4 linked regions of the Notamacropus eugenii genome follow. The protein of the gene in region 3 purifies or fractionates together with the protein of the main gene of each other region. This does not show direct contact. Links are inferred from orthologs where the notes say so. Each region holds a gene or a part of one and is shown on either strand. Other genes may lie near its edges. The genes, in order: PHF12, ARID4B, RBBP7 and SAP30L.

The links.
Region 1: the proteins of RBBP7 (region 3) and PHF12 purify together in Homo sapiens (affinity purification with mass spectrometry; 5 studies listed by BioGRID and IntAct, counting the BioPlex papers as one, with this or other methods). This does not show direct contact. The link is inferred for Notamacropus eugenii from reciprocal best matches to the Homo sapiens genes RBBP7 and PHF12.
Region 2: the proteins of RBBP7 (region 3) and ARID4B purify together in Homo sapiens (affinity purification with mass spectrometry; 3 studies listed by BioGRID and IntAct, counting the BioPlex papers as one, with this or other methods). This does not show direct contact. The link is inferred for Notamacropus eugenii from reciprocal best matches to the Homo sapiens genes RBBP7 and ARID4B.
Region 4: the proteins of RBBP7 (region 3) and SAP30L purify together in Homo sapiens (affinity purification with mass spectrometry; 3 studies listed by BioGRID and IntAct, counting the BioPlex papers as one, with this or other methods). This does not show direct contact. The link is inferred for Notamacropus eugenii from reciprocal best matches to the Homo sapiens genes RBBP7 and SAP30L.

What each region holds. Positions count from the first base shown.
Region 1 is NC_092873.1:36,320,470-36,327,824, forward strand, and holds the start of PHF12 (PHD finger protein 12), read right to left. Parts: upstream 3,017-7,355; 5' UTR 2,593-3,016; coding exon 2,527-2,592; intron 1,938-2,526; coding exon 1,756-1,937; intron 1,031-1,755; exon of another isoform or gene 1-1,030.
Region 2 is NC_092873.1:394,938,900-394,946,650, reverse strand, and holds the start of ARID4B (AT-rich interactive domain-containing protein 4B), read left to right. Parts: upstream 1-4,749; 5' UTR 4,750-5,185; intron 5,186-5,883; 5' UTR 5,884-5,935; coding exon 5,936-5,941; intron 5,942-7,751. UniProt on the Homo sapiens protein: Acts as a transcriptional repressor. May function in the assembly and/or enzymatic activity of the Sin3A corepressor complex or in mediating interactions between the complex and other regulatory complexes.
Region 3 is NC_092876.1:372,855,115-372,862,161, forward strand, and holds the start of RBBP7 (histone-binding protein RBBP7), read left to right. Parts: upstream 1-4,038; 5' UTR 4,039-4,374; coding exon 4,375-4,390; intron 4,391-5,539; coding exon 5,540-5,684; intron 5,685-7,047. UniProt on the Homo sapiens protein: Core histone-binding subunit that may target chromatin remodeling factors, histone acetyltransferases and histone deacetylases to their histone substrates in a manner that is regulated by nucleosomal DNA.
Region 4 is NC_092872.1:382,823,999-382,831,035, forward strand, and holds the start of SAP30L (histone deacetylase complex subunit SAP30L), read left to right. Parts: upstream 1-4,020; 5' UTR 4,021-4,103; coding exon 4,104-4,328; intron 4,329-7,037.

The sequences.
Region 1 (7,355 bases), on a different chromosome or scaffold from region 3:
AGCCTTCCCATCAATAGCTAAAAGCATTGTTCTCAAAAATCATAAGAAACATAAATTAGGCTGCCAATATTTATTCAACATAAATAAGGTGTTTTATAATTTAAACATTAACTTGGGTTGTCAGTGGTACATTCAGTTTCATCATCTTAAAGGAGAGTTAAACACATGCTGTACCTTACTTAACAGGAATCTCAACTTGCCAATGACCACTACCAATCTCATTCATAGACGGAAAAAAGTAATTTTGATTCACTGCAACAAAACCTGGACAAACCAGAATTTTACTACAGCTAGAGTGAAAACAACTGTTCCAGTTTGACAAGATTTAGTCTCAACTGATGAACTTAAAAATTCAGGAGTCAGGTTTTACACTTGTACAGTATCCAAGGTCAATTCCAGATTATACAAATGAGACTAGAGAGTGTGGGCCTTATCAAATAGCCAAGTCCTACGTAGAAGCCATTACACTCAGCTAACATCAACTACATCCAAGAGTAAGACATCCTACATTGCCGACTGACGTCCAGAGCCCTGTCCCAATACCACATCTACCAAACAATTACTATCTCACAAGAAGCAAGAATACTTGAAATTAACTGTCAATTCACACAAAATACCTCAGGTATAAGACATTCCACAGCACTGAAAGAGCAAAGTGTTCCTCCGGCTCTATTACACGTTACAGGAAGCATATACTTTTAAAAGCATGGATTCCCTCCCTTAATTAGTCATCTCACCATAAAATTTTTAAAAGCTACCAGCAAAGATTTCTGCAGGACAAAAACCCCAGCACCACCGCAAGCTGGGGTGCGCTCCCGGACAAGAACAGTACTCTCTGGAGCAGCAGGGGGCCTCTTCCCACACAACTTCGGACCACAACCTTAATTTCCTCACTATCAGTAATCAGTCTAATAATAGGTGGCTCAAACCCCTACAATTAGCACAAACACAGAGTATGCAGCATTTCACTCCATCCCAAACTGGGGAGAGAATGTGACTGAAGCTGGAGGGGAGAGGTCGGGCAGGATCCCCAGACTGAAAGGCGGGGTGCGGCAGGGAGCCCCCTCCCCCAGCCCGCCCAGTCGCTCCGCCGCCCGCCCGGGTCAACTGTTGCTGCAGGAGAGGCCGGGCCGGGCCGGGCCGAGCCGCAAACTGGGCTGCGAGGCGGCGGAGGCCTTTGGGGAGGGGAGGGAAGGGGAGGGGGCGGAAGCTCCCCGGCGGACGGCGCCCTTCCTCGGGCGGGGCGGACGGGGCAGCGGCCTGAGCCGGCCGGCCTCCCGGCGCCCGCAGCGCTCCCCTCCCCCGGCGGGCGCGCTCTCGTTTCCGCCCCGGCGGCCAAGGATTTCCCAGGCCCGGCCGCCGCCGAGAGACGCGCAATGGGCGCCCGGGGGCGGCTCTAATCGCGGGCCGGGGCGCGGGCCAGGCTCGCCCAAGAGGCGCGGGGCGGGCGCGGGGCGGGGCAGGGCGCGGAGGGGGCCGGGGCCAGGGGCCGGCCTCCCGGGGCTGCGGCCGCGCCGGCAAATCCTTTCTGCAGCCAAAATGGCGCTGAGAATAAAAATATAATTCCGAGGCGGCCGGTCGCCATGTTGTAAACAGAGGCAGCGGCCGGCCCGGCCCGGCCCGCTCGGGCGGTGGCAGGGGCGGCGGCGGGCGCGGGCGGGGAGGCGGCGGCGGAGGAGGCGCCCGGCCCCGGCCCCCCCGCGGCCCCGGCCCCGCGCCCCCAGCCCCGGCTCCCGCGAGGCGCCGCGGACCTACCAGCACTGGAGGTGGAAGGCGGCCGGGCAGTGGTCGCAGCACAGCAGGTCCCCGCCCTCCTTGCAGCTATCGCAGCTGTCGTGGTTGGTGGCCCGGCCGCTCCGGCGCGGCTCCTTCTCGGGCTTGCGGCTCCTCTTCTCCCCTTCCTCGCTCTTGGGGGGGGCCAGCAGGGCTTGGATTTGCTGCGCACACGGACAAACGGGGCGTGCGTGGGGGGCCCCGCGCGGGCCCCGGCCCCCCGCTCTTCCCCCCGCCCGCCCCCCGCGCCCGCTTTGTCCTCCTCCTTCCTGCCATCCCGCCTGCGCCTCGGGTTCCCCAGCCCCGGGCTGCCCGGGCCCGCTGCCCGCCGAGGCGGCCGGAGAGGCGGCGGGCGGACGGCGCGCTCCGCTTCCTTGTACGTCTACGGGGCCGGCCGGCCGAGGCCCCGGACCCAGACCGGAGGCGGACCGAGGGAGGGGAGCGGGGAGCGGCCGGTAAGGCACAAAGGGGCCGCGGAGGCGGCGCCGGGGAGACACCCCGAGGCCCCGGGATGGGGCGGGCATTCGGGCTCGGAGCTCCGATCGGGTGCGCCGCGGGCCGGGAGCTGCTGCCCAGCCTCCCGGCCCCTCATCTGGCCGACCAGGGCCGGGGGCCTCAGGGGCCGGGCTGCAGCCCCCTCCCCCATTCCTCCGGCGCTCCCGAAGCGGGGCTGCTTTGTAGGCCGGGGGAGGGGGGACTAGGCCCCCCGGCCTGCCTGCCCAGAGGGGAGGGGTCCGGGAGGGCCGCTCTTACCTCCATCAGCCCCCCCGACGTGTCCAGGTCGTACACGATCGTCTTGGTCTCCATTTTCTCCCACATTCATCCACCTCCCGGGCTGGGCGCGCTCCGCTCGGCCCCCCCCCGACCCCGAGGGGAGGGGGGAATGTGGGGGGAGGGGGCGCTCCTGACCCTCCCTCTCGCCCCAAGGGCCCGGACTCCTCGCCCCCCCCCAGCCCCAGCCCCCGGCCCCCGCGGGGCCCCCGGGGCGGCACCGTCCTCCCCTCGGGCCGTGAGGGGGGCGCGGCCCCTCAGTCCCGGGCCGGGCTGCTGGCTGCACGGTGGCTCCGGGCTCCCGGGGCTCGGGCCTCGGCGGGGCCTAGGCCCACAGGCTAGAGCCGGCGCTGGCGGCCGCCGGCCCGGCCAGGGAGGCTGGCGGGCGCTGCCATCCCGGGAGGGGGGTCGGGGTCGGGAGGGGGGGCGAGAGGTGAGCAGAGGTGGTGCTGTGTGAGGGGACTGGGGGGAAGGGGGATGGGGGGGGTCCCCGGGCTCCGCCTCTCGCCGCCGCCGCCGTCTGCGTCCCCGCTGCCGCGCACTTGGCGCAAACTTACCGCGAGCGCCCGCAAAGCCGCCCGCGCAGGCGCTCCGGGCTCGCCGCTCGCCGCGCGCAACCGCACTGACAGCCGGCGGCTTCGCTCCCGCGCAGGCGCGCAAAAGGGGCGCCCCCCAGCGCGCAGCCGCGCTGGCAAACTCCGAGAGCGCCGACGCCCCTCCCACCCCTCACCGCACCGGCGCATTGGGTGCCGAAGGACCTTCTTTCTGCGCAAGTGCATTGGAGGGCTCTGAGGCTCACGGCGCAGCCGCTACGAATAGAGGAACCCTTCAGCCGCAGGCGTCAGAGGACGAGCTGCTCCCTGCGCAGGCGTACTGAAAGCTCCAACTCCGATCCCAACCCCCGGAGCCCCAACCTCCGCCAAAGCCGCACCCGCTTCGCGCGCAGGCGTATTGTTGCCTCACGAGAGCGCGTTTCCCTCCGCCATCTTGGTAAAGGGAACTCATACGGGTATGTTCTTGGAGCTCTCCGACTTGGGTGAGCAGGACACGACAAGCTGTGGTGCTGGCTGGGGTTGTTAGGCCGTCGGTAGTGTTGGGAGTTTTTAGTGATGCTAGTCGTCACCGTTTGTCTAGGCGCCAGTGCTGACGGCTGCGTTGGACCTGACCGCCATGTTTGTAAAGGGGGAAAAGGGACGTTTCGACCAAAGAGGGACTGCTAGGGGCAGCGGCCGTGGCAGTCACGGCCGCGGCTAGATTCCTGATCCTTCCCTGCTCGAACAGTTAATCGTAGGACGAGCATCTCGATATTTAAGGGGAGAGGGGCCGCGGTAATATCGTTTCTCACTGGAGAGTTCCGCCTGCCCTTGCCTCTGGACGACCGTCCCTGGGAATTGCTTTTCAGTACTAAGCCAGAGGCAGAGAGCTCCTCCACGTCATTAGCTGGCTATCTTCCTACCGCGGACTTCAATTCCCGACATGCAACGCTCTAGGTGCTCCCGGGCGTAGGGCGAAGTGCGTTGCAATCTGGGAACTGAAGTCAGCGAGTCTCGTTGTGCACTATGGGAGTTGTAGTCCGGGCGACGGCGCCGAACGTTTTGTACAATACAGTATGGAACGAACGCTGAAATTAAGGAAGTATTCAGAGAGTTGGAACCCTGGCTCTGAAACCCAATCATCGTCTACCTGCCACCGAGGCCCAGATTCGCCCAGAAAGCAGCCGTAAGCCAGGGATGACAATACTTGCACCATTTGCCTGCATCCCAAGGTCGATAGGAGAGCGTGGGAGCCTCTGGTAACTCCCATTTGCACAGCACTTTAAGGTTTGTCAAGCGCTTTCTGCACCACCGCCACGCCAGGGGAAAGCGTTGTGCTGTAGAAATGGGAGCTGCCGTTAGTGCAACAAACAACCACGTAAGAGCATGGTCTGTCCGTTAGGCGCTGGAGTGCTGCATGCTGGGATTTGTAGTCTCTGGGAAGTGAGCGTTCCTTCCCCATCTGGGCTAGAGGTCCCCACGGGGAGGGGGGGGGGGGGGGCAATGATGTCTAGGTCAAGAGTGAGACCTACAGGAGGAGAGCACTGTCGATTGTAAGCTGTGCCAGGCCCTTAATTTTGCGTGTCAGGTCTCTGTGAGAGGCAGGCAGGTGGATACGTGTCTGAAGGACACTATTATTTCACTCAGAGTTTGGGAACATTTTGGATTGGAGGTACAGATGGAGAAGAGTAAATGAAGGTCATGCCCCAGGGTGAGGGATGGTCCACCGGATCTCCGATGCACAGTCGTGGAATATTCAGTCTGGAAAGAATCTTAGAGATTGCAAGTCACGGTGCTAGGTAGAGGCAGGGTTAGGAGCTGCACTCACTTTTCCCAACTCCTTTTCCAGCCTAAAGAGTCAGGGTGGTGCAGTGGAAAGAGGGATGAATTTGGAGACAGGACCTGCATTCAAATCTTGTTTCTGCCTTTTGCCCACTATGTGACTTTGGGTCCCATTAGGTCACTTAACATCCTTTGGTCCTTATTTTCCTCATCTATAAAAGGAGGGGTTGGATTAGATGGTGTCAGAGGTCCCTTCAAGCTCTCAGTCCAGAATCCAGTGATTCTCCATACTGAACCTCATTGCCTCAGTCTAACAAATTGCTCGTCCTTCTTGTGGGATGGTAAGACCAGCAGAAGTCTGTGACCTTTGCTTCACAATCTCCCTTCCTTCAATCAGGATACTTATGTCAAGGAAGGGAAAGAAGTGACTTTCCTAGGGAATATCCTCCCTCCAGGAATCCACTTATGGGGAATATACAGGTATTCACCACTTCTCTCTGCTGCCTCTGTCTGTGCTGTTTAAGGTTGGTGATTGACTCTTCCCAAAGTGGAGTGATGAGTGAGCCATATACCCATACAGAGAGAAAGAGAGAGTGAAGGCTGCCAGCTTCAGCCTCTGCTAGAGCCCTGTTGCCCACGCTGAAGGACTCTCCCACAGGTTCTCTGAGGTTGGGACCTCAAATGCCCTGGTGTCATTGGCTTTACTCCTGCCCCCAAGGGCTCAGCTGCGCTGCTGTGTCATCCCTGTGGCACCAGCTTGGCAGGGGAGCTGGAGAGAGAGGGAGAAGCGGCACCCCTGGCGCCCTGCCCAGCAATCAAGGCTTTGTTTTGATCAACACCATCAGTTGCAGCCACAAGCAGGAACAGGAGGCGGGCTAATGAGGGAAATCAGGCTGTTCTGGTGACAGGTGGAAGGGAATCAAAGTGCTCAGGAGACCTCCCACTTGGGTCACGGTAGAGAGGAGTTGCCCACAAGGGCAAAGGAGCGGGCCTTGGTGGGCTGGGCTGGACCAGAAGAAGCTACCTTGGCAAGCCTCAGACCTGGAGGCATGAGCGTGAGCCAGGTCGAGCAGAATTCTCTGCAGGGGACCTCTTGTGGTTGATTGGGGAACTGCACCCTTTGCGTTCCTTGGGGATGGGCAAGGGAGAGATGGGAGGATCCTAGGTCTGGAGCTAAAAGTGTCCTCCGAGGGCATCCTTGTCCACCCTGCTCGTTTTACAGAGGAGGAAGCAGGCCCAGGGAAATTGAAGTCCCTTGGCTAGGAAGCATGCCTTGAGAAAAAGAATACTCAGATACACCAGGGATGGTGGATCTTTGACTGAGGGGCTTGGGAAGGTGCCCAGCCGCATTCCTGGGTCTGGCTTGTTGCCTCTAGAACAGTGCCAGGGAAAGGAAAAGTGGAGTGTGCTGGGTAAGCAGCTAGACTCCTGGACAAAGGGAGTGCCCACCAGGGGAAAAGCCAAGTCATCTGCCTCTCCCCAGTGGTACCAACTTTTTCAGGCTTTGTTTTGCACATAATGGCCACTCAATAAACATTTTTATTCTTGTGATTTTAAGGGAGCCCAGGATCCATTTTTGTGTCTGCCTTTGCCCTCCCCATAGTATGCTTCCGACAAGTAAACACCATCCACCTGACCACCAGCTTTGTTGAAAACACCTTTTTAATAAGGAAACAACAGAAATGAAAGATTGTTCTCTGGCTGGAGCCCAGACCCTAGATCCTATGTTACACTTTACACGTACAAAGTGGCTTACAACCAGTTCCTTGGGTCCCCCACTGGAGCAGGCTGGGCCAATTTTCTGGGCTTGTGGACTGCCCCTCTCCTGGACTTGTTTGCCTCTATCCCTCCCTTCCCAAAAAAATGGAAAGAAAAAATATTGGTGGATGGAAGAGAAAATTATATGTCTGGAGTTGGGAGAGGTTGGGTTGGGAAAGAAAGATGTTTATATAATGAACCAGCACATCAGGGGAAGGGGTGTCTCCTTTCCTCATCCCCTTCTCACACACACACACACACACACACACACACACACACACACTCATTCTCACACACTCAAATACTTCAGAGTGTGGGGCAGGCCAGGGAAGGATAGGGTTGTCCCCTTTGGTATGGATTACATTTCCCAGGAGAACCAGTCCTGGTTGGGTGGGAGTCCCCAAACCCTTAGAGTCCCTGGGATTGATTCCTTTCCACCCTTCTGGCTTTTGGGAGAGAGGGATAGTTGTCCACTTCTGGAATAGGAGAGGGGGATTGGGGAAACTTATTGAGGTGTGTGTGTGGGGTCATTCCAGGAAGATCCAGAGAATTGACATCGCCTAAGAAGGCAGAGCTAATTGTGGACATGAAACTGTGTGGGCTCCTTCCTACCTCTTGGTCAGCCCCCATTCTTTGCCTGTGAAGAACATAGAGGGGAGGTTTCTGCCACCCTGCCACCTGGCCTGCCTGTAGTTCATTTGCCCATGGTTTGGGAGCATAGAGACTGAATGGAAATGC
Region 2 (7,751 bases), on a different chromosome or scaffold from region 3:
CTGAAACCAGAGCAACTTGTGCAAGGCTAATTAAGCTGTTCAAATTTTGTCAAATGCCTCATGCAATCTACACATGATGTGCCTATATCTTCCTGATTTATCAGTCTTATAATTTTATCAGAAAAGGATCCAGAATCATAGAATGGAAATTGGAAGGGACCCTAGAGGCCATCTAGTCCAACTCTTTCACTTTACATATGAAGAAACTAAGGCTCCGGAGGTTAAGTGACTTGCCCAGAATCACAGAGGAAACATTAGAGATAACATTTGAATCCAGGTCCATTGACTCCAGAGTTGGCGCCCTTGTCATGGCATCACACTGCTAGAAAGATTTTTCTGGGTGTACTTTTGTTTGTTAGTTTCTTAGATCATCTATTTCATGAATTTTCTATTCAGTAACTGATTTAGAACTTGATGAAATTTGCTTCTTCCTATCTAATGTAGGTTAAAACACCAAGATTGTTAAGGTCACCTAAATTAGGAGTAAACAGACTATAAGTGTAATGTATAAAGACTGGGGCATGGTCTTTTGTGAAATTTATTTTGGATGCTTAAAGCTTTGTTTTCTGATTCTCAGCAGAACTGTAGAGAAGTTGCTGCTAAATGGAGTCTAATAGTACCAGGTATTTGAATCTTTGATAACTTTTCTTAGTTTTTTTGTTTAAAAAAAAAAAAAGTTCCCTTTTCTCAACCCTCTTACTCACAGTACTGTTCTTCCTCAGTCTCCCTTGTGGTTCTAGTGACCTTCACTGAACAGATAGGATAATCATCTCAGACTCTGATCTCATTCTCTATAGGCTCTTGCATACAAAGAAAGAGTTCTTATACCTCAGGATTTCCACCCCTTAATACCATGGTATTAAGCCAACAATGTAATAAGCTTTGAGAATCTAGCCTGCTTGAGGTGTTACACACAAAAGAAAGCAGTCTTACATTTCATAATTATTTGCAGTTTAAGAAAAAGACAAAACAAAACTTTTTCAGGTCCTTACTACTAATATTTGACATTTGACCATTTATATAAATATGCAGATTCCTATAATATATGTTAATGCTTTGATTTTATGGGCATAGATGACAAATACATGACTCTAGTAGGCTTTACGATGACAAATGGTAATGAATTTCAAAATGAAATGCTCACCCTTATATAAGGAAATAAAAGAAATGGACCAAGCTACTATGATCATACGCTAATTACCTCTTGCAGCAGCAGGCCCAAATGATCAGTTGGGCAAAAATGCAATAGCTTCTAAGCTACAATATACTACTTTCCACATGATTAATCCTAATATAATTTGTTTCAAAACTCTATATTGCATAGACTCACAGCATCTTGTATAACACAGTTGTTTACCTACACAAAGCAGATAATTTTTCACCTGCCATGACAAGATTACAGAGTAAATTCCCTAAATTGCCCCACATCTGGCAGAATACTATTATGAATATGTCTGGAAAAAGGGATACAAGAAAAATGTGATATATAAGATTTTTAAAAGCTCTATCTCTATCTTAAACCAGTTTTATATATTTATTACACAGAGATGTAATTGAACTTTTGCAAAGTATCTTTGGAAATAATAATGACACTAATGTGACACTAATGTAATAATCTGTGATCTGTCCTGAGATGGTACATTACATTTCAAATTGAAGGTCTACCATGATCACATCATTTAAATAAATTTTTTAAAATCATGGAAAATAAAACTACCTTCATAAAGACTGGGCATGAAGCAGTTCTACAATTGTCTCTTGGGATAGTTTTGTCCTGTAAATTAGAACATAAGATGCCAGACAGCAAGGACCAATTGTATGTTTCACAATATCGAGCACGATACTGGGCCCATGGTAGGCTTTCAATAAAAACTAATTGATACTATTAATTAGCCATGACTTTGAACAAGGCATTTCACCTCTGTGGACCCCTTTTTCCTTATCTGTAGAAATGAGGAGGTTGAAAGAGATGGTTTCCAGGATATCTTTTAGTCTTAACATTCTATGATTCCACTTTCTCTGTCTAGCAGAATGTTTATCACTGTGTCTTTTCTAGGAAGGAAGATACAGGAATAATAGTGGGGGAATAAGAAAAGCTGTTTTGTCCTTGACTAACACACACACACACATTTTAAAATTTAGAAAGTGTTTTACATACATTTTCTTTTTTTTCCTTTGGAATGTAGGTGTCATTTATTGAAGGTAGATTACACAATCTGTTCTCTCCCTCCCTCCACAACACAACACGCAGATTTTCTCATTTGATCCTTGACAGCCCTGTGAGAGAGGTATATACTAAAGGCATAATTATTCCTATTTTATAAATGAAGGAACTGAGATTTAGAGTGGTTAAGTGATTTGCTCATGGGCAGACAGGTAATGAGTACGAGGGGTCCTTCCCTATCTCCTTATTGTTTTGCTTTAGAAGACAGAATATGTTATCTACTGTGGAATATGTCCTAACCTGATTCATCTATAAAATCTTAATTTTTTGCAGCAGATATACATCCTCAACCTTTTAAATTTAGGTATCAAGCTCCTTAGTTCAATTAAGTTCATTTGTGGTACATGACACCCAATGTTACAGGAGAACGAAAAACTACAAATGTCTCCCTGGAACAGGCATATAACTACGTTATTCCTCGTTCTTCCGATTGGAAAAACAGCCTGGGGCTTGCAATCAAAAAAGACAATGAGGATCGTTAACCTGAAAACTTGGTTAAAGGAAAGACATCAGACTAAAGGCATGCGTTATTTTTTAATTAATTGATTCCCTCTTAAAGATAACAGTCATAGCGCTATGGAGTCATTTGTGACTCTGACTACTTAGTACAGAAATCATCTGTCTTAAGTACATTTTGCCGTGAGAAAGAAACTCTCCTAATTAAGCAAATCATAAATTCAGTAAGACAGGACAATTAACAAAGCAATGTCAGTTGGGCCTTGAGATTCCAGGCTGTGTAAACATATAGTCTCGGTGACAAGGAAGGAAATCCCACCACCAGTGAGTGACAGGCTTCCTGCCCTAAACAGATAACTGACATAGGAAAGGGTAAACAAAGTTCAATAGAAATTACGATCTAAGATGTTTATATTTTCTTTACCACTAATATGCCATAACAAACATAGTATATGTCTATAGATAATAAGATATAGTGTCTTAGGTTAAAGGTCTCCTAAGGAATGTAGACTCAGCCTTGGCTGGCTTTTGCTGACATAGGAAGAGGCATTCTCTGAGTTTGCTTCAGAGAGAACAAAGAGATTATTCAAAAATTTTATATTAAACATTATCAGGATCAATGCGAATGATCTATCAAGCATCAAATGATTCCTGATTTTTTTTTTTTTTGCAAAATATAAAGAAGGTCAAAATAAAAATTTTTGCCAAGTGAGTGCATGTGTGAAGCCGGATGCTTTCTCTGGATTCGGAAGAGCTAGAACTCAACACCAAAACCTTAGGATTATGAGTCTGAGGAAATCTTAGATTTAAAGCAGGAAGGAACTTCCTACTCTGAGGGTTAATTCTTAGAGGGGGTGGGAGAAGGGCGAGGAAGTTTGTGAACTTGTAAAAATTTATTTTAGTAAGTGCATTTCAATGATTAGTTTACTTTGTAACCCTATGGATTTTGTGAATTAAGAAATAATGCTGTGAAAGGGTCCACAGGCTTCGCCAGACTGCCAGAGGGGTCCAGGGCACAAAATCCGATGGAGAACCCTAGTTCTGAGGCCCTCAACTTAAAAGAAGAAATTGGAGGTCTAGAGAGAATTGGTGTCCCCCTTGTGCCCACAGCACCACCGCCTGAATTCACACCCGGGTCCTCTGACTCCAAATCTGGCTCTTAAAAAAACGCACCAGGAAGTCCCCAGGAAATTGACAAGGCGCAGGCAACCAGACGTTAGCCACAAGCCAAGGACTATTAATTGTATCTAAGCCAGCCCCTCCTCCGCCGAGATCACCGCGTCCGACTCCCTCTTCATACGGAGCTCGCACTCCCGCCTCCATCCTCCCTCCCTCCCCCCCTGCCCTCCAAGAAAAAAAACACACACACATACACACAGCAACCCGCTTCAGCATCCGGGTCCTTGTCCTTCTTTCTTTTCTCTCCCCGCCCCCTCTGGTCTCTCACCATTCGGGTTCCCCCGCCGCCTCCACCTCCACTCCCGGTAGAACGGTAATAATGCTGTTTCACACCGCCGATCCCGAAGCAGCACTACCGTGCCTCAACTTCCTCCTTTATAGTTCACTTTGAGGCTCCTCCCGCCACCAACACGAATCCCTCCCACTGCTTCACTTCGGCACTCTCCGCCCTTTTCAGCCGCCAGCGACGCCGCATTACTCGGTGCGAGAAAATGCGCCATCCCCGTCCCACTGCGCAGGCGTCGCGACCGCCTCCCTAGCGATAACTAGCTCTGGGCCTCCTCCGCCCTCCACTCCACTCCTATTTCCCGCACGCCGAAGCGGAGCATTAGGGGTTTTGCAGTCTTTGGCGGTGGGAGGCTGAAGCTTTGGCCCCTGGGGATGGACTACAACTCCCAGCAAGCTATGCAGCGTAACTTTCTGTTTCCATAGAACTGGTGGAAAATGGCGTCGGTGTTTGTATCCCGGGGACCAATAACGAAAGGGTGGGGGCGGGTTCTAAAGATGACCAGCCAATCCCAGAGCTCCTAACGGGCAGACTAAGGAAGGAGGGCAGCTAGGGGCGGGAGGGAAAACGAGGGGAGGGAACAAGGGGAGGGGAAGGGGGATCGGGGGAGGGAGGGGGAGTGATGTTTGCCCGTCAGTCGAGTCCGGAGTGAGCTGCTCAGACACCGGATCGGAGTGGAGACCCTGAGCCGCTGCCGCCGTCACGGCCACTGTCTGGACCAGTGCCCGGACGGAGCCGCAAAGGGTCCATCGCTGTCTTTCTTTGGAGGGGGGCCCGATTTGGGGCCCGGACCCAGAGTCCGGGAGGGATTTTCTTCGTTCTTTGCTCCCTCCCCCCCAGCGAGGGAGCCAGAGCGGCCGCCAAACAAAGGTACCAGCCACCGCCGCGGGAGGAGGAGGAGGAGCCGCGGCCACCGCCGGACCCGTGGTCTCCCCTTCCCCCATCTCGCCCCCCGGGCCCGCTCCCCGTCGCCGGCTTCGGGGTGGAGCAGGGGAAGGGGACTCGGGACGTGACGGGCTTCAGCCTCAGCACCCAGCCAGGTAGGGGCATTTTCTTGGCGGGGCAATGCGGCGGCCAGAGGGGACACGGTTCCGGGGCGGTCGTGGGTCCCCGTATCTCCCCCCCACTCCGCCCTCCCTCCCCAGCCAGGAGGAGAGTGGTCGCCACCCCCGCGGCGAGCGCCCGAGCGCTGGGCCCTGCCCGCCCGCCTGGCCTTCGCCGCCGCGGACTCCGAGGCTCGTCGTGCCTCGGCCAAGTGGGAAGAAGGAAGGGGCGACGGGCCTCGGAAGCCCTGGGCAGGGACCCCGCCGTGGGCGCTGGTGCTGCCAGCCCCGCGGGGTCCCCGGGCTGGGCAGCCAGTTGTGGGGGCGCCGGCCTGACGGCCCCGCTGGGCTGCAGGCCGGCCAGCCCGAGCTCGGGGCGGGGAAGGATCCGGGGCCGGACTCCGGGGTTTGTTGTGACTTTCTCCTCTGACAGAAATGGCGTCATTGCCGGAGACGGGGAAACTCCACCGGGTCCGACAATGGGGAAGCGGCCCGGCCCGGGGGCGGCGGGGGGATGCCGGAGGGAGAGTCGGCCCCGCCGAGGGCGAGAGCCGGGCTCGGAGGGACCTTCCTTCCGGGAGGCGGCGGAGCGAGGGAGACTTGCGGCGGGGGGTTCTGAGCCATTTCCTCGTCCCCCACCCCGCGGAGAACGGGGTTCCTGGGGTGGTGATTCGGTGTCTTTTGTTTCACCTCAGGTGCAGGTGAATTCTGTGTCTGCGAGAAGACGGCGGCTGCCGAATCACCACCATGAAGGTAAGAAAGGGTTTCATGCGAGAAGCCTCCGGGCAGGGGGTGGGGCGGTGAGGGGGAGCCGGCCGTGTCGAGGTCCTTCGGGGGCGCGCAGAGTCCTGCAGAGCTCGGGGAGGGGATGGGGTCCGAGCTGGTGCATGTACGCCGGGCCTGGCCGCGGAGCTGGGGCTCTTCGGTGGGGAGAGGAGCTTAAGAGGAGCCTTCTTGCCGGGGAGAGAGATAAGAACGGTCTCCCTGACAAGTCTGAAAGCCCGTCAAGTTACCTCCCTCATCTGGAAACTGGACATGGTGAGGGTTCTCAGTCAGTAGAGACAAAGCGAAATTCTATTTTACGTGTGGGTTTTTAAACAGGTAATTTTTACTCTGCTGAAGAACTGTTCTTTGAATTCTGGTTTGAAAACTGCCGTGTGACTTGTATTTATTTCCAGGGACACAGTGCTTTGTGTATGACTGTATGGGATCCGTTCCTCTGCACTGATCCCTTTTGGGTTAAACGTTTTCAGTCGATTCATGCTTTTAGGAAAACTTTTCCCTGTGCTCAAGCCAGAAACCTGGAAAGCTGATAATCAGTTTTCCAAGTGGTGAGGATAGAAATCATAAAGGACAGTGCATAAAATGCAGGATTTTTTTTTTAACCTTTTGGGTTTGCTTATTTGGTTGAACATATTGTAGGCATAAATGTCTCTGTTAGTTTACATTTTCAGCTCAGCTAGGTATTGAATATTGACATTTTCACTTAATACACACTAGAAAGAAAAGAGAATTAGAATTTTGAATCATTTAGATTCAACTAGTGGTACCAAGCCAAGCAGACATTTTTCTTTTCTGTAAAAATTTGCTATGCTTGAAAAAGGTGGGTGTGTTCGTAATTGGTTATAGTAATAATGCTGCAAACTGTAGTAGGTTAAAATTTAAATGCTAGCTACTTTAGACAGTTCATTGAACAGTCTCTATATTTTGGTTCTATTTAAAATCAAGGCAATTTAAAAAATACTGTATCAGAATTAAAGCTTGTATTGCATAAGTTTATGGAAGGAAGTAAAATGCTGTAACCTTTTGAAATTCTGAGTACTGCATAGCCTATCCAGTTTTTGCTAGTTTCTTGGGTTTGTACTTTATGCATGTATATGAAAAGGTTTTTCATTCTTCCTCTCATTTTCTATATGTATAGTTCAGTTAAAGAGTATATAAAACTAAATGTGTCTGTGAGACCTGAAAACAAACAAGCATGATTATAATAATGACAATGGGGAATGTGTGTGAGACTACCAGAAGTGAATTCATTAAGAAAACCACAGTTCTGCCACAATTTTCATAAATTTCTTGGGAAAATATTGGGCTGAAAAATACATTAAGTTTAAAAATGGAGCAATATTTAACAGATAATTATGAAAGTTTTTAACAGTTATAACTTAAAGATTTTCTGTTTAACTCATTCTTTAAAGAAATAAATTTAGGCTTTTAAACAGTTTTATGTGTCAGAACAAAATCAAATTACACTTGGATATTTGTAATTGCATTTAAAATTGTTAGTTTTTGCTTAAATGGTACCAATGTTAAAATGCTTGATAGTTTAAAATGAACTAATTTTACATGCTACTATTTTTGGCATCATAATTCAGCCCTTCGGTTAAGAAGAACAATGTTGGTCAATGACATTGTACTTTTTTCACGTATAGACCTTAGCTTTTTGTGTGCAACCTAATTTTATGTGGTAAGTTAAGTTCTTTAGATATTATTATTTTGCTTGTAATTAAGGCCAGTGTCAAAATTGTTGTATTTTTATGTATCTGTGGCCCCAATTTCTATGATG
Region 3 (7,047 bases):
ACAATATGTTGTTTACAAAAAACACATTTGAACCAGAGACACACACAGAAAGTAAAAGTAAAAGACTGACTGAAGCAGAATATATTCTGCTTCAGCTAAAGTAAAAAGAAAGCAGGGGTAGCAATCATGATCTCAGACAAAGCAAAAGCAAAAATAGATCTAATCTTGTTAAATGAAGCAATATCAATACTTAACATATATGCACCAAATGGTATAGCATCCAAATTTCTAAAGAAGATGTTAAATGAGTCATGGGAAGAAACAGAAAGCAAAATGATACTAGGGTGAGACTTCAACCTCCCCCTTTCAAAACTAGATAAATCTAACCACAAAATAAGAAGTTAAGGAGATGAATAGAATTTTAGAAAAGTTAGATATGATAGACCTCTGGAGAAAATTGGGGATAGAAAGGAACATGCTTTTTTCTTAGCATTACATGGCACCTATACAAATTTGACCATAGGGCATAATTACCCTGCAAACAAATGCAGAAAGACAGAAATATTAAATTCATCCTTTCCAAATTACGATGTAATAAAAATTACATTTAATAAAGGGCCATAGGAAGATAGGCTAAAAACTAATTGGAAACTAAATAATCTAATCCTAAAGAATGAGTGGGTCAAACAACAAATTAAAGAAACAATCTAATTTCATCAAAGAGAATGACAATGAGACAACACACCGTAGTTTATGAGATGCAACCAAAGCAGTACTTAAGGGAAATTTTATATCTCTAAATGTTTATATCAATAAAGCAGAGAAAGGGCGGATCAATGAACTGGGCATGCAACTAAAAAAAGCTTTAAAAAGAACAAATTTAAAATGCCCAATCAAATATCAAGTTGGAAATCCTGAAAAATCAAGAGATAGGTTAATAAAACTGAAAGAAAACCACTGAACTAATAAATAAAACTGAGCTGTTTTTGTGGGGAGGAAAACCCAATAAAATAGATAAACCACTGGTTAATATGATTTAAAAAAAAGAAATAAGAAAACCAAATTACCAGTATCAAAAATGAAAAGGATAAATTCACCACCAATGAAGAGGAAATTAAAGCAATAATTAAAAGCGATTTTGCCCAATTATATGCCAATAAATCTGATGGACTAAGTGAAATTGATGAATATTTACAAAAACATAAGCTGACTAGATTAACAGAAGAGGAAACAGAATACTTAAATAACCCCATTTAAGAAAAAGAAATTGAACAAGCCAACAATGAGCTCTCCAAGAAAAAAATCCCCAGGGCCAGACGGATACAAGTGAATTCTACCAAACATTTAAAGAACAATTCCAAAACTATAGAAACTATTCGGGGAAATAGGCAAAGAAGGAGTCCTACCAAATTCTTTTTATGGCACAAATATTCTGCTGACACCTAAACCAGGAAGAGCCACAACAGAGAAAGAAAACTATCGACCAATTTCTCTAATGAATGTTGACGTGATTACAGCTATCTATCACCAGGATCATACACTATAACCAGGTGGGATTAATAACAGGGATTCAGGGATGGTTCAATATTAGTTAAACTATCAGTGTATCTTAAGCTTACCTGTCCGTGTACATGTTGTTTCCCTCAATAGAATGTATGCTCTTTAAGGACAGGGACAATGTCATTTTTTTTCCATCCCTAAAATACCAGCACACAACCTGGCACATAGAAGCCTTTTACGAAATATTTATTAAATTGAATTAAGGAGAAGTCAAAGCATTTTGTAAACTTTAAGGCACAGGATTATTACTATTATTATAATACTTCTCTTGCCAGCGAAAGGTCATACACCCTGTACTATGGAAAGAACAATAACCCTAGGTTTTCACAAATAGCAAGTCTGTTTTCACATATTTATAAACTGGAAGAGACCTTAAGAGATCATCTAATTCAACCCCCTCATTGTATAAATAAATACACTCCTTAACTTGCCCACAAGTAGTAAGTTACAGTGCTGAGTAGCTTGAATCCGAGTCCAGTGCTCTCTTTGCTACAGTAAGTTGTCTTTAACTCTCCATAGCTTTTGTCAATTAATACCAAGGCCGTCCTTCCCCACATCAAGTCTAAGGTAGCATGGCATCGTCAAATAATCACTGAGTTGGAAAACAGGAAAATTAGGAAAACTAAACCTCTCACTCTATTTAAACAATTGCCCATATGTCATTTCATTTCCTTGTCTTAGTGACATCACTTGTAAAATAGAGATTAACAATATCTTTCCTATTTCATTTGAAGATCAAATGAGGTTGTACAATGAAAGCACTTTAAAAATATTAAGTGTGATTCAAGCAAGGCATTACTATTATTATTTCCTCTACTCCTTATGTATTTTCACAGTGGGGCCCTTTCTCACAGGAGTATATAGAGCCTACAGTTTTCAACCCCCGGTTAGCCTTCTCAGTATTGAGGTATCCCCGCACCATCATTCCCTTCTCAGGTCTCTCACTTCCCCTGTGTGGAGCCTACAGTGTCCACTTCCTCCATACCCAGATCCAGCCAACCTCCTCCTCTATCAGTCTTTTCTTCAGGGCCAGGAGGGGTTAATGCCTATTTGACCAGGGCCAAAGAATGAAGTGGCCCCATGGGCACTATGCCTTGGTTCTTCTGAGAAAGGCAGTGCTTCCCCTGAAAGAGGGGAGGCAAAGTTAAGCAAAGGATGCCACAGCATGCACAGCCCTGATTTTGTAAGAGGAACACAAAGTCCAGTCCAGAAGGGTGGAATTACAGCTCCAAGGGCCCAGACTGGCATCTAGGCAAACCCTATCATTTTATACATGAAGACTAAAGGAATGGACCCTCCAAGGCTGCACAGAAGCAGTTCCTCTTGTTTCTTCCATTGCACCATTTCGAGGCCTTTTAGGGTCTGTGAACTTAAAAAATAATAACTATTTTGATAGAACTGTAACCCTATGTATTTTATTTTACGTCTTTAAGACATTAATCTGAGAAGAGGTCCAGAGGCTTCACCACACAGCCAATGGGGACCATGACACAAAGTAGTTCCAGAACTTTTGAATCAGACAAAATAACAAAAATTCCATTTGGAGGAATGAACTGTCTAGAAGAGTTCTTCACCTGAGGCCTGTGGACGTAAATAAAAAAGCTGATAAGTGAATTTCAACAGAATTGGTTTTCTTTGCATTTTATACTTAAGTTGATGCCTTTTTTTGCTAAGAACGACTTTTAGAAGGACATTTCTGCCCATTTTATGACCCGGTCTAAGCACCCTGAGCGGGCTCCAGCCGGCACAGAAGCAGGCGGATTTCCCCTCCTCCTCAGCGGCGCCTCCGCTGTCATGGGGTCCCAAATGAACGGGGCCCCCCATTCCGGCGAGGGCGGTCCGACCATCCAGGGAGGGGCAGCTCTTCCGCCAGCCCACAGGCTCCCGGAGACGCATGGGAGGGGGCGCCTCCACTTTAAAGCGCTTTGATCCGCCGGCTCCGAGGACCTCCAAGCTGGAAGGGCGGGCGTTCCAGGGATCTCCAGATGCGACGAACGCGCGCTCCTGGGGAAGCCGGCCGGCGGCGAGCGCACGCAGAGCACCGCCCACCCCCACCTTTTCACCTGCGCGCTGCAGGGGACAACCTCATTGCGCGGGGAGTTCCTTCAAGGGCGCTTGCGAAGGTCAAGGGTCTTTCCTCTAGCAACACAGGACACGATTATGGATTTCGCAAGACTCGAGAACCGCAGCTTCCTGGCGGCCGCTCCCCAACACGCAGTCATTTCCCCGGTTAGTGCAATACTACTAGGACTTCCACGCCACGTGCAAAATCTCCTCTATAACTAGGGGAGGGGAAAAGGAAGGCAGGACTGGCCAGGTGCGCGCCAGCTCCCGCCCGCGGATCCCGAGTATTCCCCGCCTCTCTCTCCCAGTCTCTCAGTTTCTCTCTCCTTCCCCCCGCCCCCGCAGCAGTACACCCTACAGTGCGCACGCGCGCCTAGGCGCCGCCTGTCATTGGTTGCGGCGGAGGCGCCGTTTGCTCTCTGACCCTCCTTGGCCGCCTTCTCCTCTCCTGTCCCGCCCTCTAGGGACTCGTAGTGCGCATGCGCCTTTGCGACCGGAGCGGGCTGGTAGGCGCGGGTTGAAAGTCTCGTTCCAAGTTTGGAAAGAGAGAGGGAAGAGGTCGGGGTCCGAGCAGCCACGGCTGCGGGGGAAGCAGCGCTGCACGGCCTGACTCCGGAGGACGGGGGGAAGGGGGGGAGGGGGTTAGAAAGCAAGTGGCGGAGGCGTCCGGGGCTCCGGGTTGTGGGCGCTGGGTGACGCGGCGGAGACTGTCTGCGCCCCGGCGGGCTAGCGTCGCGCGGCCAGAGCGGGGGAGATCGAGACGGCGCCCGAGGGGCCTGGCGGCCGGCGGGGCGCACTGCCCGACACAAGATGGCGAATAAAGAGAGTAAGAGGGGAACGGGGGGTTACGGGGAAGAGGTTGCTCCTGGAGGGGTTCGCGCTCCGTGCGTGCGCGGGTCGTGGAAGGAAGCCAGGGCGGGGGGGGGCGCCCGGGGTGTCAGCCCCAGAAAGGCGCGAACAAGGCTCTGGGCGGCGGGGACAGCTTGGGGGAGGCGAGGGCGGGGACGCGGCCCGGAGGTCCCTGGGCACTTCCGGGGGGCTGGGAAACAGGCGAGACAAGTGCTTTTTCTTTCTCCGTGCCCTTGGTCCTGCGGCAGTTTCAGCACCATCCTTGAGACCAGGGTGCCCGGGCTCCCGGCTACCCCAGGTTTCGGGTGCGGCCGCGAGGCCCAACCAAACTGCCCTAGTTTTCGTTTTGTTCTTCGCAGGTTGGCAAAGGGGGAGAGGCATAGCTTTAAAAATTAAATTTGATTTTTAAAAATGATGAATACGGTTTTTTCCCCTCTCTCCCGCTACTTTCCATTGGAAAAAAAACGATTGTAACAAATACGTATGGTCAAAGGGCACGTCTGTTGAGTTGGTGTAGTGCGTGGAGGGCTGGAGATGTCATTTCTATTTTGGAGGAGCCATCCACCGAAATCTGGATTCCTATTTTCCTGTCAGATTGCCGCCTTCCCCTCCACAGACTCTGCTGTGTAATTGAAAGGGCATCTTGCAGTACTAGGTTCTGGAGACTCATGGTGGAATGGCAGATGTCAGCTGTGCCTAAACTTGAATTCCCAAGAAATAATTACTTACATAATGGCCAAACTGTATTTGCAAAATATTGGCTTGTTTTTTGCAGTAAATAAATGACTAGATATTAAGGCTGCCAGGAAAGTCTTTGTGGTTATACTCTTTAATAGTTGTGCAGAACCGGAAGGGCCAAAATATGACAGATGTGGTAGGTTTTAAAAAGTTCAAAACATTTGTCTAATAGAATCATATTAGCCCTGACTAAAGATATCCTTCACTACGTATTTGTTAAGTATCTCCCTTACATTGTGCTGAGTGCCAGGGATAACAGTGGCAGCAAACAAGGTTTCTGCCCTCAAGGAGCTCATATTCTAACCATATATGCCTATTCTCAAAACTTGAGCTTCTTTGAAGTTCCTAGACTAGTTAAGCATATTAATTAGTGTTCTCTTACTTTCAGTGTTTGAAGATACGGTGGAGGAGCGGGTTATCAATGAAGAATATAAAATCTGGAAAAAGAATACCCCATTTTTATATGACTTGGTTATGACACATGCCCTCGAATGGCCCAGCCTTACTGTTCAGTGGCTTCCTGATGTAACTAGGTAACTAAAATTTAAACAATTCAGTAATATTACTTTTACAAACAGTAAAATTACTTTCACAGAACAGATATTGGGATGAGGGGAAGGGGGAGACTTGGGGGATTGTAAATTTCTACTTCCAAATATTTGCATATATTTTGTTTTTAAAATAGGGGTTAAGACGTTTAACCATAATTTTAGAATCAATTAGAATTATTGCTGGAATGTATGGTTTCTTTGTATCATAAAGGACAAACTCTAAGGTTGGATATAGCTAAAGTAAGTCAAATGTGAGGTATTGGGTATTATTTCAAGATGAATATAATTTTATGAACGAAATAGAGACTGTAAATAAGGATGCCTTTGCAGGAAATATTGCTTAAGCAATATCTCAAAACTACAGGTGAGTACTTTTTGCTATAGGGAGAAAAGGACAAAGGTTTGGGGTAGAAGTAAGGAAGAGAGGTTGCTACAGAGTAACTTTTGGAAATAATTTAGTGCTGAGTATTTTAAAATATAATTTTTAGTTTCCTCTTAAGTGTATATGATTTTTTTCAGCAAATTGTAGTGTAAACTGAAATAATGTAAGAAAAAAATTATGTTTTAGGTATGCAGCCAAAATAATTAAAATTAGACTAAGGGGACTAATGTATTATTTAATCCGATTAATTTTTACTTTGTTTAATTTTTTTGTTGATTAAGATGTGAACATAATATAAAGCTCATTTTCTTTATAGGTTGTGGTGCTTTCTTATACCCTACCCACACATGTTGGCTTTAGAAAATGTGGAATACTCTTGTGCTTGTATGTGTTGTACAAATACATGAGCAAAGTTAAGTTGATTCAGAGGAAAGAACTAAGTAACATGGTATTTTAACATTGGATTATAATGAGTAGATTATTGATTTCAGATTCTGGGTTGGTTCATTCTACATATGAAAATTCGGATCTTCTTAATTGTCTTTCAGTTAAATGCTAGTAGTTTATGACATTCTTTATCAAATAACCTGCTATTTCCCCTCTTGAGTTTGTTTTCCTCATTTCTTGTTTAAGAATTGTGGAAGAAATAGCATGAAAGTGCCCCTGGTTTCTTCGTTTTCCATATTTAAATAGTGAACACCTACAGGGAGTTTAGGCAGTATGTTTGGATGAAAGACATCTAAATGTAGTCAAACCTCACATATCCATTCCCTAAGAAAATAACGTGAGTAATAATAGACAACATTTATATAACATATACTATGTGCCAGGTACTGTGCGCAACAGTTTACAATTATACAAATTTATAATTTTATTTATAATTGTATAATTTACAATTATACAAATTTAACTATATATTCTCTCATTAGATCCTCACTACAACTCTGAAAGGTAAGTGCTATT
Region 4 (7,037 bases), on a different chromosome or scaffold from region 3:
ATTTATTTCCTGCAATAGGAATGAAGAAGACGGGAAACTAAATTTCAAAGAGTATCTCTCATCTACTTAAGGGCAGCCAGGTGGAGCAGTGGATAGAGTACTGGGTTGTATAGTTTGTCCTTCGTTCTTGAAGAGGACCATATCAGGATGAGGATGACATGGCTTACAACTGAATTGGATTTGAGGGAGGGCTGTGCAAAGTCCCCAGCCTCATTTTCTCCTCCAGAGCCATCTGATTCCAGTGGCCAGATAGAGATCAGGGCAAGTGGACATGATCTAGGATGCAGTGGGACGCCTTGGCCTTTTTAAGCTGAGGTCTTTCCGAGTTCTCGCTTTGAATGAGGCAATACACATTTAGTGATTAGGCCTATTTCAGAAGTGAGTCAAAGAAAGACCCGTTAAATTAAAAAAAAAATCAAACTGTGGGGGGAAAGCCCTCAGGGTTGCTGGCCTAAAGAGAAACAATTACTATTTACATTCACTCTAAGCTTTGAGGGGGCAAAAGATAACTATCAAGTGGTGCTTGGGCAGGGATCTAAGATTGGCCAATCAATAAGAACCAGAGCGAAATGGGTTTAAGGCATGGTCTTTAAGAAAAAAATCTAGTCAGTAAACCCTAAGATAACTAGGTGGGTTTCAGCCATCAAAAGACAGGAAGACCTGAGTTCAAATCTAGCCTCTGACACTTACTAGCTGTGTGACCCTGGGCAAGTAATTATCCTGTTTATCTCAGTTTCCTCGTCTCTATAATGAGCTGGAAAAGAAAATAGCAAATCACTCCAATATCTTTGCCAAGAAAACCCCAAATGGGGTCATGAAAAGCTGCATGTAACTGAAACAACACAAAGTTATGAAGTGCTTTAAATGCCAGCAGCTTTTATGTTTGATCTTAGAGGTCACAGAGAGCCACTGGAGTTCAGTAAGTCTATTAAGAATCCTTCTTGACTTCTCTGCAGGCTTTCACACTGTTGATCACTCTCTTCTCTCTAGGTATTCGTGACATGGTTATCTCTTCACCTGTCTGACTTCTCAATGTCCTCTGTCACATACACTAACCATAGGTGTCATTTCCTCCAAAGTTTTGTCCTAGGCCCTCTTCTTTTCTCATCAGCTCCCTTGGATTCAGACACAACCCATACCAAACTTTTAAATTGATTAATTAGGTAAACAACACTTGATCTCAATTTCCTTTTCTCTTGTTTTGTCTTCATTCAGAACACTAACAGGCGTTAACATCTTTTTTTTTTTTATTTTTTAATGTTTAACAATCACTGCCATACAATTGAGATTTTATCCCCCCCCACCTACTCCCCACTACCCCCCTCCCTCCCCACGACTGCATACAATTCTGTATAGATTCTACATATACTTGCCTATTGAGTATATTTTCACTATAGTCACGCTATGTAGTCAGACTAAAATAAATGAAAGAAATCGTATAACAAATCAGAACATGATACACAAACACATACCCATACACAAACATGATCTGCTACATTTTGTGAGTGACTTCCATATTTCTTTCTCTGAGTGTGGAAGGCATTTTGCCTTGAGAACCACCTTTGGGATTTTTTTTTTTTATAAGTAGTTTTTGCGTTATTACCAGGCGTTAACACCTTAAGTCAGACCTCAGAGGTAAACTCTAATTAAGCAAGGTGTGGTCCTTCCCCTCCCTAAACCCTTAGGGGCTTTCCTGGTCTGGACACTGCCACAGTTTTTATGTCCCCCAGGGCAGGATGCTGCAGCAGGTTTCCAGTATGTTTACTGGCACTGACTTCTCCAACAGGACTCTTCTACCCATGTCTGAAATTTGTCTTTTTGTGTGATACTGGGATGAATGAAAGAAGATATTCCTCTCTGGACTTGTCATTATTCCAAATAGCTCTTCATTAATGGAACAAAAGTGGTACAGTTAGGCTCTTCTGTGACCTCACACAGCCATGTTACCCACATGCCATCTCCCAACTGGGTGCCTTTGCATAAACTAGCCCCTGTGCCTGGGATGCCCTCCTTCCTCACCACAGCTTGAGTCCGTAGCTCCCTTCAAAGCTCAACTCAAGTGTACCTCCTAAATGAGGCCTCTCTGGTCTCCTATTTTCCTGACCACCCTTCAATTTCCCCCCAAAATTACTTTTTATGTTTCATATTTACTTACATGTGTACATGTTTTCCTAATAGAATGTAAATCCATTTCTGTCTCTGTATCTCTGGTCTTAGCATAGCACTGATACATAGTAGGCACTTGAATGTTTGATTTAATACCTACTTTACAATGTTGTTAGTATTTTGCAAGCTATAAATACAAGCTATCAATACTCCTAATAATTTTAATGATTCCTCTTTTGAAGTATAGGTATAAAGTATGAGAGACAGAACTCTCTCTGCTTCTTCATGAGACTATCTCCTCTCACTCCTTTACTCTTCTGTGATCCTCAGCTACCAGACACTGTCTTCGTTAACTCATTTCCTTGGTTTTGAATCTTATCTCTAACATTTACTTTAAAAAATGATAGGACTTGAATTCGTCTCATTCTTCCCCCAATACCATCCCCTCATCCAAAACACTTAACTACCAATATGATCTTGGGCAAATCACTTAATCTCCTTGGGCCTCAGTTTTCTCATCTGTTGGCTAGGTGACCTCTGAGGTCCTCTCCTGCTTAAATCTAAGATCCTGGGATCTTCTTTAGCTTTCTGCTTGTAAGAGTGTCTCTGGTCCAACCCTTTCTCGTTTGGAGCTATTACCTTGTCTTTCTCACCTACCCAGTCAGTGCCCCTGTTTCTACCACTTCCCATACATACAATAGTCCTTGTCCCTCCACATGATTCTATTTCCCTATAACCTTTCAACCCTTTTATGTCTCTCCTTTCCCTACAGCACGTGTCTCCCCATATTCGCTTGAGTCTACTGCTCTAACTCTTGTCACTCTGTCCCATCATTACATCTGTCCCACTGTCTATCCATGTTCATCCATCCCCTCCCCCCAGCTCTTCTCTCTCTTCCCATTCCTTCTGTGGACTCATTTGCGCTTTCATCCATCCTTTCTCTTCCTGGGTCCTCATCTCTTCTAGGTCTCTCTATCCCTCTGTCCATCCATTCTGTCCCAGTGTCTGTCTATTCCTCCATCCTTGAATGTGACGTTGTCCATCCTTCCCATCCTTCTAAATTCCCCTAACGTGTCTCCACCCTTTGTTTCCTTCTTTCTGTCCCTTTCCCCCATCTGTCCCTATGGTTGTCCATCTCTCTGCCCCTCATCGTCTGACTGTCCCACTGTCCCTCTCTTCTGTCCCCTCCATGGTGCCACCTGTCCTCTGTCCTTATACTCCCCGTCTACCCCACTTGTCCTTCTATGTCTATGTCTACTCATCCCATCTGTGCCTCTGTCCATCCCCCCTGTCCTTGTGTCCCACTGTCCATCCTACTTGCCCCTCTGCGTTCATCAGTCCACCTCCAGTCGGACCCTTGTCCGTTCCGTTTGTCCGCCCCCATTTGTCCTCCTGTCCATCCCGCCTGTCCCTCTGTGTCCATCCATCTGTGCCTCTGTCCATCCCGCCTGTCCCTGGGACCCCCCACCTCCTCTGGATCTGCCCGTCCCCGCTACCCCGCCTGCCCCTCGGTGGCCCCGTCCTCCCCCGCCCGTCTTGAGGCAGCTGCTGGCCCCGGGCCGCGTCTCCTAGCCCGGCCACCAACTCTCTGGCTTTGCACTTTCTCTACTTCGGACCCGTCCCCGCAGAGTCCAGGAAGGAGCCGGCCTCTCCTGACTGGCGGGCGCGTCGCCCAATGACCAAGGCCGCCGAGGGATCCGGCCACGCCCCGTGTCTTCTAGAGTCCAATGGGAACTCGGGGGCGGGACTTCCGCCGCCGCCGCGGCCGCCGCCTCGGGGAGAGCGGGGCAGCCCAGTGGGCGCCGCGGGGCTCGCGGGGCTCCGGGGGCCGCGGGTTCGAGGCCGAGCCGGGCCCCGGCGCGCTCAGGCAGCGGGAGGCCGGGCCCGCGGGCGGGGCCGAGGGGACCGCCTCGGCAGGGGGGGCCGCGACCGGGCCGGGGTCCCGGGGGCAGGGGCTCGGGCTCCCCGTGAGCGTCCCCGGGGCCGGGGCCGGGGCCATGAACGGCTTTAGCACGGAGGAGGACAGCCGGGAAGGGCCCCCAGCCCCGGCCCCGGCCCCCGCGCCCACCGCCGCGCCCGCGCCCGCCCCCGGCTACGGCCAGAGCTGCTGCCTGATCGAGGACGGGGAGCGCTGCGTCCGGCCTGCCGGCAACGCCTCCTTCAGCAAGAGGATCCAGAAGAGCATCTCGCAGAAGAAACTCCGGCTGGACATCGACAAGAGCGTGAGTGCCCCCGCCCCCGCCGGGGGAGGAAACGGAGGCCCAGAGAGGGCAAGCGACTGGCCCAAGGTCACACAGCCCGCGCGCCCCCGAGCTAGAACCCGGGGCTCCCTCCGAGCCCCGCCTCCCCCCACCCCCACCCCCAGCACCATCCCCGCTCCCAGGTGAGAGGGGGGCGGGAGGGGGTCCGGCGGCGACCCTGAGCTGGAGGGCAGATGGAGCCTGGAGCCCGGACCGGGGCAGCTCTTGGGATCAGCAGAGCCGTTGCTTGGTTTCTTTTGTTGTGTGCGGGGTGAGAGTCCCAGGGTTTGGGAAGCAGCACCGGACGGACCACCGGGGGCTCCCCATTCTCACCCTGCCCTTATGGTCAGCAGGCTCTCGTGAAGCTCATTTGAGGGGGTGACCTTGGGCAAGTCATCCCTCCTCTCCTGCTCCCCGTGTTTAGTCATCAGTAAGCTGGGGGAGGTTGGGACCGATTATTTCTAAGCCCCTCCAGCTGCAGCATATTAGGAGGAAGGTGGTGGGGTCCCTTTTCTTCAGCTTCTAACTTTTCCCTCCTGGGGAACGTACATAAACACACGCCCTGAATTTTTCTTGAAGAATAGTCAAGTTGCTCATGGTTTATCCCCCAAAGGGTAAGGCTGCTTACAGAGGAAGGGTGCTTTCTGCTGTTTGTGGAAGTGGGCTTACAAAGATGAGGCTAGAAATAAGGCAGAGGTCGGGTTGGTTTTTGTTTGTTTTCCTGAGGAAGAGTGGTTTTTACGTTGAGTGGGAAAAGAGAGAGAGAGAGAGAGCCTTCCTGGACAGTTGTTTTTCCACTTTCAGGCCTTAATAGTTCCTTGCTTGCACCTCTCATGTATTTTATTCCATAGACTGAGTCCTTCCTTAACCTTTCTTGTGCATCAGCCCCCTTATAGACCTCTTCCCAGAATGATGATTTTAAGGAAATGCTAAATTGCACATAGAAGTTAGTGAAAATAAAGATTTAATTATTTTCCCATCCAACTTCATAAACCAATCCCATTTTCCGAACCATTATCTTGACTGCTTATGTTCTCTGAGGATAGAGACTGGCCTCCAGTCATCAAGTGTCACCTTTGACCCTGGGCAAGTCCCTTAATCTCTCTGTTCATACAACTCTACAAAATTGAAATTTGCGGAACAATTACCAATCTGCTTTGGTAGAATTGAGGGAGTTTTCTCACCTAGAGTACCCATGCAAATCTGAACCACAAACAAAAAAATCTTCCCCTGCACCCAGTCTTTTCCCCACAAACATACTAGCTAGTTTCGAAAAAACGCCTCACTTATTTGTAGCATTTTCTAGTTTACTAAGCCCCTTTCTGTCCACGGAGGTATGAGGTGGATAATGTGTGCTGATTTTTAACCCCATTTTATACATAAGCAAATTGAAGCCCTGTGAGCAGAAGTGCTGAGCCTGAGGCCACATGTCTCAGAAGAGGTAGAACCAGCACAGAAACCTGGGGCTCTTGATTTCCTCCTTCAAGTGCTCTTTGCATCGCTGTGCTACATCTTGCAACGTTATAAATATTTGTTAATTGAATGAATGGGAATTTAAATTTGATTACAACACGCTTAGGGCCTCCTACCTGATTGTAGGAAACTTGTCTGCAGGAGGTTCTAGTTTACAATTCTAGAGATGTTCTTAATTGGTTGATAATGAGTGCTTTTTAGAGTGTCATCTGTTGTCAAGTTTAGTGGCAGTTTCACTATTAAGGAGTCAGATTTGTTAAGGAGACTAGACAGGGTCTATTTAAAATTCAAGAAGTCTTAAGTGAGATGAATGAGTTCTTCCCACAGGTAGTAAGAGCCAAGAATCGAACCCAGGCCCTCTCACTGCAAGTCCAGTCCTCATTCCACCATTCAGGGGTGGGGAACCTGCATCCTCGAGGCTCCATGTGGTCTTCTGGGTCCTCAAGTGTGTCCTTTTGACTGAATCACGGACAGGGTTGGATGTGTAGCCTCGAGGCTGCAGGTTCCCCATCCCTGCTTTATATCAAACTGCCTCTCATGTAGAACTAAAGGATAAGCCGAAAAAAGAAAAGTTCTGCATTATCAGGTAGGTTTGGGCTTTTATAAATCCTTTCTAAAACTGTTTAGCAATTGCCGGAAGAGTGCCCTTTTGAAATCACAACTTATATTTACTACAGTTTATAGGTTCATTGACATCTGGATGCTTTTACAGCTGGATTGAGATTACAACTCTCCTCGTTAATTTAAACTGTTTTTGGTGGTTTTTCCATACATCTTAGGGATAGGAGGAAGAGAATGATGAATTGCAATAGCATTGCTAAAAGTAATAACTCCTCACTTCTCAAATGGTACTTTTTAGGAATAGATTCACTAGCAATTCTCTTTTCAAGGTGGTGTCATTTCAGAAAGATTCCATTTTCCTCTCAAGAATGAACAGGACTTCAGTTAAAAGTAACAGCTGTCTTGCTAAAAATCAGATTTGCAAACAGGGGGGAAAATGGAGGAAGGGGATACTCTTTCCAAATTTCAATCACCTGAATTACAGAAAATCTGTTTGTTCTTGTTAATGGTTAAAAGTATATGCTGACTCAGTATTTATAGAATCATAGAATGTCAGAGTAAGAAAAACCTTAGAATATAGAATGCATTTTTAGGACTGAAAGAGAGCTTAGAAACCATCTAGTTCAGCACCCTTATTTTTCACAGATAATGAAACTG